Linked DNA regions of Caenorhabditis elegans. The protein of the gene in region 2 interacts with the protein of the main gene of each other region in a pairwise test. Each region holds a gene or a part of one and is shown on either strand. Other genes may lie near its edges.

Region 1 (3,501 bases), on a different chromosome or scaffold from region 2:
GCTTCTCGAGTCATATAGTGAATCGCGTCTTGATCTCCAAGCCAATCGGACCCTTTTACAGTGTCGTAGAAGTGCCAGCGCCAGTTATCTGGATTCATATTTCCCAAAGCGGCGTTCACACCTAAAAATCAAAATTTAAATTCTGTTCGTATACTTTGAGCGGCTCACCTCCTTGAGCCGCGACTGTGTGCGATCTTGTGGGGAAAAGCTTCGTAATGACGGCAGTTTTCATTCCACCTTCGGAGAGTCCCATCGCAGCTCTCAAACCGGCTCCTCCTGCTCCCACAACAACCGCGTCAAAAGTGTGATCAACGACATCAAAATTGGTGGTTGCGCTCACTTGTTTTCTTTGAAAATTGATAAAATTAGTGAAATGGCGTTAGAAAATAAATTATCTCACTTCATATAAGTGCGAACAGGTGTTTTCGCACGGTTTATCGACTTTACGACATTAAGCATCTTGCTGAAAATACAGGAAAAATATAGAACGTTCAGAAAAACAAATAAAAATCCGATAACGGTTGAGGTGAAACCAAAAATGAGTTGGCCGCGCGAACGATACACCGTAGTTCACACTTTCGGTGCGAGACCCACCGCTCAATTTTTGTTCCTGCGCCTTTAAGTTTGAAACAACTACGGTACATTTTTCTCTATTTATTTACATGAAATTTCTGAAAAGAAACGTTTCATTTGAAATTTTATCGTAAATTTACATCTTCATTTCATAAAATTCCAGAAGAGAAAAACAATACACAAACACGACTTTTAAAAACCAAAGGCCTGTCGTTCATTTTCGAAAACTAACAGTCTAAAAATGAAAACAAAAAAAAAAAGAAAATGATGTTTTATTGATAGGGGCCTAGAGCAGGACACGAACTCGAAGATTAGTTTGCCAATCCATCCAGATGAATGGTATTTACCAGAACCACTTGGACATCCATTGTGGGAACCAATTATCGTAGAATTTCGGTCCAGCGTACTCAGAGTGTTGGCGCCAAAGATGATCACGGGTTTCATTTGATCCCCTTGAGTGAACGAATACCTAAAAAATATGATAAGCTCCAGAATTGTTATAAATTTTTTACCTCAGTAGCAGTTGGATCCCACCACTTGTCTCCGAGAGTAAAGTACACTGGCTCTCCGTACCAGGTTCCAGTCTTCCATCCTGGAACATCCTTCATAATTTCCTCTTCCAGAGCACGATTCTTGGCCAACAATTTGAGCCAATATCTGTCACGCTCGGCAGTCAAGAACGGCTCCATTGCGTTGTTGATGTCAACATCTTCGAACTTTTCAGTGCTGTAAACTTGATATTTTTGGAGATAAATTCACTAGTTATCTTACATGTCCTTCTTCTTTCCTTCAAGAGCAGCATAGACTCCGTAGGCAGTAGCTCCGAAAATGGCGGCGACGACGGTTCCAGCTTAAATTTGTGATTGATTTTAAGAAAGTTTTGTGTTTTGAATCAAAATTTGATAGACAGAAACTTAAAAATAGAATACTGTTTCAACAATAAATTTGATAAAAATGTATTTATTCTTCGCGTTATATTATTTATAGAAAATAGTGTGAAATATCAAAAATTACAGCAAAATAGCAAACTGATCCCAAAATATTATGCTAAAAACGTTCTCTGTCATTTATATTTTATTGCTCAAGACAAACAGCTTTATTTTTATAAATAGCGTCTAAGCCTTTTTATTCTTTAAAGTTTCTTGAGAATCGTTTTTCAAAATATTTATTCTGTATTTCACAGCATTCTTCTCAATTTTTTCGGCGTTTTGCGTTGTTTCATTTCGAGTAATATTTTAAAGCAAAAAAAAACAACTCACGACTCCAGACAAGCTTCGGAAAAGTGCGATGGAAGTTGAATGCACGATAGCCTCCTTTTGGAGGCATATCCTGCCGAAACTCTGCTCCAGTGGCCATTTTACCTGAAAATAATGAATATAAATTCGATAAAAAACCGAATAAATTATAAAAATCGATAATTTCGTTGAGGAAAAAAAAACTTGCAAACAGAATAGAAATTGATAAGTCGGGCAAAATGTGCGGCACGGGAATGTGGGCGTGGTCTTCGTCGCAACACTGCGGCGCACTTTCACAGCGATTTATTATTTTGGCGCGTTTATCTTTTTTTTTTGAAGACGTATTTTGCATTTATCGCTTGTTTTCTTCTTGAAATTGCTTTTTTAATATAAAAATCTGCTTTCAAACAAAATTCAAACTTATTTTCAGTACTAAAATGAATCCAAATCATAATGAAGGCCTCCTCGAGCTGTACACACAAGCAATCTCACTCGAAGCTCTCAAAGACGCTGAGCAATTCCTCGAGAATAGTTTGCTAGGAAAAGATGCACAAGTCGAACGTCTACTCGCTCAAGTTCTCATCGAAGAGCAGCAAATCGAGACGAATCGCAAAAAGATAGCACAATTGAGAATCGAGAAAGAAGAACTGGAATTCGGTGGGTTTTCGGAACTTTTCTGGTTTTATAATAATAATTAATTAATTAATTTAAATTCAGATTGTGCAAATAGTGACCTGAAGTCGTTGGAGCAGATGCAAGCCGAGCGAGATGAGCTCCAGAGGAAGTGCCAACCGGGGCAGCACACTAAATCGGTGAGATAGGGGAGATTTTGAAGCTGAGAAATGCTTTTTGTTATCTGAAAACATTCAGCGTTTCTATTATTATTTTTAATTCTAGAATCACAAATCATCTGAACAACTTTTGAGAATGAAAAAAGAAACCGACGCTCTACGTGCCTACATGAAGAAGATAAGTCAATTCGAAGACTGAAGCCATCAAATGAATCTCTATCAATTATCCCTCAATTTAAATTAATTTCCATTCAAATCGATCTGTTCTCATATTTCCTCATGATGTGATTCTCTAATCTTTTGTACATCTACAAGTTATTTTGTTTTATAAAGCCACATCTCACTTATGCATAGTTTTTGTGTCCAAAACGGAAGTGTTATTGGGAAGAAAAAGTACAACATAAGGGAAGAGTGAAGAAAATCGAGAGACGCAGATATGACTTTTTATTTGCGAACACGAAAAGCAAAGTGACCAGCAGCATTGGACACTTTTCGAGCAAACTTTTCGTCCGAGGAGGAGCTCATTGAGCTTAAGTCTCAGAGCACTGACCATTACTTCGGTCACTCTACTGTTTTGAGAAGCGTTGAGCTCTTTCAATCGTGTAAAAATGTTACCAAAAACTGGATCATTCGATGGGATTCCTAAAAATTTCAGAGCAAGTTTGAGAAGTGAGTATTTATGGTCTCGAAATTTTTTTTAAATCTTGAATTCTTATTTTTGTTTTTCTTTCTCTAGTTACTCCCAGGATTAAACCAGTAAATTAAAAAAATGCACTTAAAAATTCGATAACTTCCTAGAGTAACTTCCTACTGTAAATTTAAAGGCGCATACACAAAATATTTTTCATAACGCGCGGCAAGACCAATCCACTAAATTCGTCCTCCCTTGAAGTTTTTCTGCC
Region 2 (5,704 bases):
AAAAACTGAGAAGAAGTAAAACTTTAAAAAATCAAAGTAAAACTTAAAAAAATCAAAGTAAAACTTAAAAAAATCAAAGTAAAACTTAAAAAAATCAAAGTAAAACTTAAAAAAATCAAAGTAAAACTTTAAAAAATTTGTATACTTACTGCTCACCTACGTACCTATGTACCTCCCGAGGTGTCAAACTCTTGCCTACCCGCCTTATTATGTATATTCTATTTGGAACTACAGTAGTAAATAGTAAGCTAAAATTATTTTTAAGAGAGGAGACTGAAGCTCCGATTTTTTAAACTCCGATTTTTAAACGCACAATAACTTCATTTTACAAAAAAAAACACGGCTACAAAAAAATTTGGTTACAAGGAATATTTATTCATTTGACTATTCAAACCATAAGTCTCCTTTAGATTGATTGAGAATGAACTAGGAATAAAAACATAACTTTGTGATTGCTCTGAGGCATAAATGTATAGGGGAAAAGGTAAACATCTTGAAGGAAATACAGCAAGTGCGGTTGATGCACAATGGGTATTTTTAGATGAAAAAAAAACTAAAATATATGGCACATTAGGTAAAGAATTATATGAGCATCAGAAGTATTGTAGGCCTGATGCAAGGGAAGGGTGAAGGCGGCATCTAAAATTATAATTTTTGACTGTTAATTTTTCGATATTAAACTCACTAGAAGTTCACAATTTTCTTAACAGCCTTAGAGAACACCAGCATTCGACTTTTCTTCAAATCGTTCCTCTGGGCAAACTTCTCGTGTTCTTCCGCGACTTTCATTTCGAGAGCATTTTTCTCTGAACGAAGTGCAATCATGTTTGAGCGTACATTTCGGAGTGCTTTCATTTTCTGGTCGAATTCCCATTGCTTCATCTCCATCCACTCCTTTCGGATTTTCCCGCTCTCTTCGCGTGATGGAGGAAGACTTCTCAGCTTTTCTAGTTCTTTTTGAACGACAGCCATCTTATCGAGACCTCTTAGCTGCTCAGCCATTTTCGAATTTCCTTGTTCTAGTTCAGCAATTTCCTGGTCACTTTCAATTTTTTTCTCGAGTGCAAATTTCAGACGAAGCTCCAAAAACTTGATTTCCGCGTCTTTTCTTGCAATCATAATCGCTTCTCGCTCATCATGACTAAACTTCAAGAGCTCCTTAGTCTTCAACATATCAATTTTCTCAGCAGAAAGTTGATTGGTTGAATTCAGAGAATCAATCTCGTGTTGTACTTTCATTTTCTCGTTTTCAACAATACGCTGAAATTTGAGAGCTTCTGGATGTTGTTCAGTGGACGGATCTTCAGATGTTAAATATACAACGTTGACCACAGCTGGATCGAAGTCTGGCATTTCGAATTGAGGAGATGGAGGTGGAAGTTGTACATTTTGTGACATCAATGATGGTGTTCCTGGGGCAGCAGTTTTTGAAGAATTCAGATGAGGAGAGCGGACTGATGTATTCTGAAAGACATTTTCGATTCAATACTCAAAGAGATATTCTTACCATCGCGAGAATATCTCTTCCCGAATCGTTCAAACTCATACTCGGCATCGAATCTTGACTCGTCTGCATAGTTTTATTCTGTCGATATTCTGTCAGAGCTTCCATTGTTTGCCCATTCATCGACATTATAGAATTCTCCAACGCAACACGACGAGGAGATTCACGAGCAGAATTCAGAAGAGATCGACGTCGTTTAGAGATAGACTGGTTGATGCTCAAATTGAAAGCCGAATATGTTGAAATCTTGGACGTGTTCACTGCTTCCGAGTCGACATTGTTCATGATTTGCGATGTTTCATTATGGCCTTGGAATGTGAAATTCGCGCCAGTATTCGAGGTATCTAAAACATACTTTTAATAGAGTTATTGAATAAACGAAATTTACCATTTTTCTGCAAAGTCTCATCTCCGAATTGCTCCTGCTCTTTGTTACTGTTCAGTTCAACAGCAATAGACTCATGGACCATGCTAATGTCTTCACACGTTGTAATTTGCATAGTTTTAAGAAGAGTATTGTTGTCCAATTCCATCGAATTGTTGAGAGTTGCACTCGAGTTGTGAAGGGCTGATGGTTCTTTAGTGGCAAGAGAAGCTGACTGTGAAGCAAGGATGACTGGCGTCTTCGACGAACCATCGTCTTCCAACTTTTGTGCTACATCAATCATGGAGGAGTGCATAAAAGCCCTTTCTTCTTCGATGAGCATAAACGACTTTTTGTCGATTTCCGAATGAACAGAAGATTCGTTTATCATGGATACGTTTTCTGAAGCATTTTCCTCTTGCCGCTCGAGAGACGTGTAGACATCATTAGTTGTAGTCACTTCTACATTCGACTTTGGCAACGTCAAGGTTCCATCATTTTGTGTCTCGTCAATGCTCATTTCGTCACCGAACACGATAGATTTCTGCGAATCAATGATCGAGTTGTTCTGAAAGAAATACATTTTTATTGGAAAGTGTGCTTAAAACTTACCGCTCCGATCTTTACTCTGGCAGGACTCTGGAACACAGCCATGGTGTCGTTTACTGCAGGTGAATCTCGAATCACCGAAATGTCCATTAAATCCTCCTTTTGAAGTTGCAAGCCGTCGTTCTGCTGATTACCAGCCTCACATGGTTGTTGTTCAGTGATATCCATATCCATGTCTAAATCTTCCACCTCATCTGCGATACTCGGGTATTTCGTTGATTTGTCAGCGGCTTCAATCGTTTTCTCGAGATCCATGCTGCTCTTACTGACGTGTTTCGGGCTGTTGAACATCGCCATAGTGTCATTTACTAGAACTTTCGGAATAGAAATGTCCATAAGCTGACTTGTCTCGAATTGATCATTTTTCTTCTCCGCGTTTAATACGGCCTGATCAGTGATGTCCATGTCCACAGGTACGACGTTCGAGGCGATATTTATTAGATTCTGAGGAACACCCAAACCCTTATTACAGATGTCTCTCGGACTGTTGAAAATGGCCAAAGTATCATTAACTTGAACTTGTGGCGCCGAAATGTCCATCAGTTGACTTGGCCCGAATGTATCATTTTTCTTTTCTTCAATTAAAGTGTGATGTTCAGTGATGTCCATGTCTACAGGCATGACGTTTGAATTAATCGGAATCCGGATAGCATTCATGGTATTATTTTCATCTAATTTACTCGTATCCATTTCAGCGGCTTCCAAGTTTGTGAAATTGAACACATTCATCTGTAAAATTAAGATAATTTGGTTCCTTCTATTAATTCAACATACCGTTTCATCGCACTGGCCGCCCGCTGCTTTTGATTCATCGAGGTCCATCGGTATAGTTCTATTCATTGTAGCGTTATGCTTCGGAACTTTGGGAATCGTGAAAAGAACTGAACGATCAACTGACATATCCTTATCTTCTTGATTCGTTGTATTGAACATTGCTAAGGTATCATCCAGTGGCATACTAACAATTCGCTCGGTAACTTTTGTTGTGGTTTCGACGATCTTTTCGTATAATAGTGTTGGATCTCTTGTGGTTTCAAACAATCTCGCCGTTTCGTTGTTCTCGTTGATAGTTGTTTCGAGAGACATATCCATAGTTTTATCGAGATTACCACCGCCGAACACTTGAAATGAGGACGTGCAGGCCGGAGATTCGGAAATATCCATGTTTCCGCCACGTGGTCTTAAAAAGATTTTTACGTATTCATTATTTCACGTTAAAGGATGGAACTCACGTCAAAATACCATCTGATCCAATAGTGTCAGTAATCTTCTCCTTAACTGGTGTGGCGTCAAGAATTTTACCATGGTCCCTGTCATACTGCCTGAAATAATTATTTTATTGATAAATTATTCACTGACTCTAACTGACTTGACATGCTTCACGTTATGAAAGCTGACTCGTCGATTAGTTGTTGTGGAACTAGGCCCACTGTTCATGACGGTTTCCTCGATGGTTTCGACGGCTTGCCGCACCTTGAGAATCGAGTTCCGCTTCTTACGAGGCTCCATCGACATGGCTGTAAATATGTTTTAAAAATGGTAATAAATTATGATTAAAAAAATAACAAAACAACGGCAGCATAAACTTCGTTAAATGGGAAAAGTAAAAAAGTGAAAAGTAAACGAAGGCAGTTTTGCTTGGCGGCAAATCTCTGTTTGAAATTGAACTTGTACAATGGAGCGAAGCTGCACTCGACACACCACCGGTTCCGTAGAACGCACACTACGAGTAATTCCTTAACTTGGGGCAGTATAATACAATTTTAATAGTTTAAAAAACCAATTGTTTCAAAAATTAGATAAAATTCAATATTAATAAATAAATATATGTACCATTACAGCTGATACACATTGCAAAAATATTTTCTACGAAATTCGAATTCTCAAAATCCGTAGTTTCTCTTGTGAGTACTGTATTTAGATATTTTTTCAGGCAGATTTCAATTAATTTTTTTTTAACCGTTAAGCTTTATTCAACACATAGAGAATCAGGCGGTATCTCTCCAGTCAGGGAATTCTAATTTTATTTGCACTTCTGTTCCATCTGGTGTAGTTTTATCCAAGAGCAATTGACATGATTTCTGAATCAATCGAGCCAAATTGTGGTGTTCTACGACAGGCTCTAAACCAATACAAATTAAGTTCCCAGAATTTTGTGATTTCTCAACTTAAAGGCAATGGAGTTTGTGGTGGAGATTCTTCAGTGACAATTATAGTTTCCATGTTCTTCTCAGTTGCTGAGAACACATTAACTCGATTCTGGAAAAGTTTTAATGAAAATCTACGTAAAAATAAAAATTACCGGCTTCTTTTTCACATTGAGAAGTTCTGCAGAATACGGATCATCTGATGCGTTCCATTCCGATTCTGTATAATTTTGAAGCGCTTCTCCAGTTGAGCTTGGTGGAACTAAAACTTTTTATTAAAAAAAAAACCGAAAAGTTATATATATTACTCACGGCTTATAGAAGTATCAGATTTACTAGGATTTTCTTCCTTCTTTTTGTTGTCCATCTTGTATTTGAAAATGATTTGTAAAATACATTTCCATAAGTGAAAACTCAAAATTACGTGTATTGCATTTTTTTTTCGAAATCTTTTAATTAAGAAAAAACATCTTTTGAAAAGGAAATAATTTTATTCTTCAAAACGATAAAATCAAAATCAAGAGGCAAAAAATGGCAGAGCAGCAACCAAGCAAAGAAGAAAAGAAAGAAGATAAAAAAGACGAAAAAGAAGAGGAACTACCAGCACCAAGTGTTCAGCAATCTATTCGACAGTTGCCGAAGATTCAAATTACTGATGATGGTAAGGATGAAATTTCAATATTACACAGATGCGAAATTTTGTTAGTTTACGCTGAGAAGTACGGTGCCCGGTCTCGACACGACCGAAATATTTTTAGGCAGCGTTTTTAGTTAGAAAACAGGCGTATGGCTTTAAGGACTACAGTAACCCAACTCCAAGCTATTTTACAGTTTTCGCATCTGGACAATACAAAGTTTAATTTCCAGATAAGGGCGAACAGCTGCCAGAATGCACTGAAGGAGAGTGGGATGCCAGTGATGAACCGTTCTCAGCTGAACTTCTGAACGTCAAAAATGCTCCAGTAAATATTCAAATTTGTAGTAAATCCTTCTAATCATCCAATTTCAGAACAAGGTATCCGTGTTCAGTGGTCCTTATCGTTCCAAAGAAACCATTGAAAAAATCAAAAAGTTCAGAGC

What was found.
Region 1: the proteins of knl-1 (region 2) and kbp-5 interact in a two-hybrid assay, tested with the Caenorhabditis elegans proteins (one study listed by BioGRID).

The regions. Positions count from the first base shown.
Region 1 is NC_003279.8:10,685,125-10,688,625, forward strand, and holds kbp-5 (KNL (kinetochore null) Binding Protein), read left to right. Parts: upstream 1-2,238; 5' UTR 2,239-2,245; coding exon 2,246-2,465; intron 2,466-2,525; coding exon 2,526-2,620; intron 2,621-2,705; coding exon 2,706-2,798; 3' UTR 2,799-2,935; downstream 2,936-3,501. Other genes in the region: sdha-2 (Succinate dehydrogenase [ubiquinone] flavoprotein subunit, mitochondrial), read right to left, coding at 1-121, 169-347, 401-459; ndua-13 (NADH dehydrogenase [ubiquinone] 1 alpha subcomplex subunit 13), read right to left, coding at 917-1,042, 1,086-1,299, 1,345-1,423, 1,833-1,929; tag-272 (Structural protein), read left to right, coding at 3,208-3,268.
Region 2 is NC_003281.10:8,248,924-8,254,627, reverse strand, and holds knl-1 (Outer kinetochore KNL1 complex subunit knl-1), read right to left. Parts: upstream 3,997-5,704; 5' UTR 3,993-3,996; coding exon 3,847-3,992; intron 3,800-3,846; coding exon 3,710-3,799; intron 3,658-3,709; coding exon 3,252-3,657; intron 3,207-3,251; coding exon 2,481-3,206; intron 2,437-2,480; coding exon 1,893-2,436; intron 1,849-1,892; coding exon 1,508-1,848; intron 1,465-1,507; coding exon 685-1,464; downstream 1-684. Other genes in the region: C02F5.2 (DUF5356 domain-containing protein), read right to left, coding at 4,466-4,599, 4,646-4,736, 4,780-4,886, 4,937-4,991; C02F5.10 (uncharacterized protein), read left to right, coding at 5,156-5,285, 5,492-5,586, 5,634-5,704. UniProt on the Caenorhabditis elegans protein: Acts as a component of the outer kinetochore KNL1 complex that serves as a docking point for spindle assembly checkpoint components and mediates microtubule-kinetochore interactions.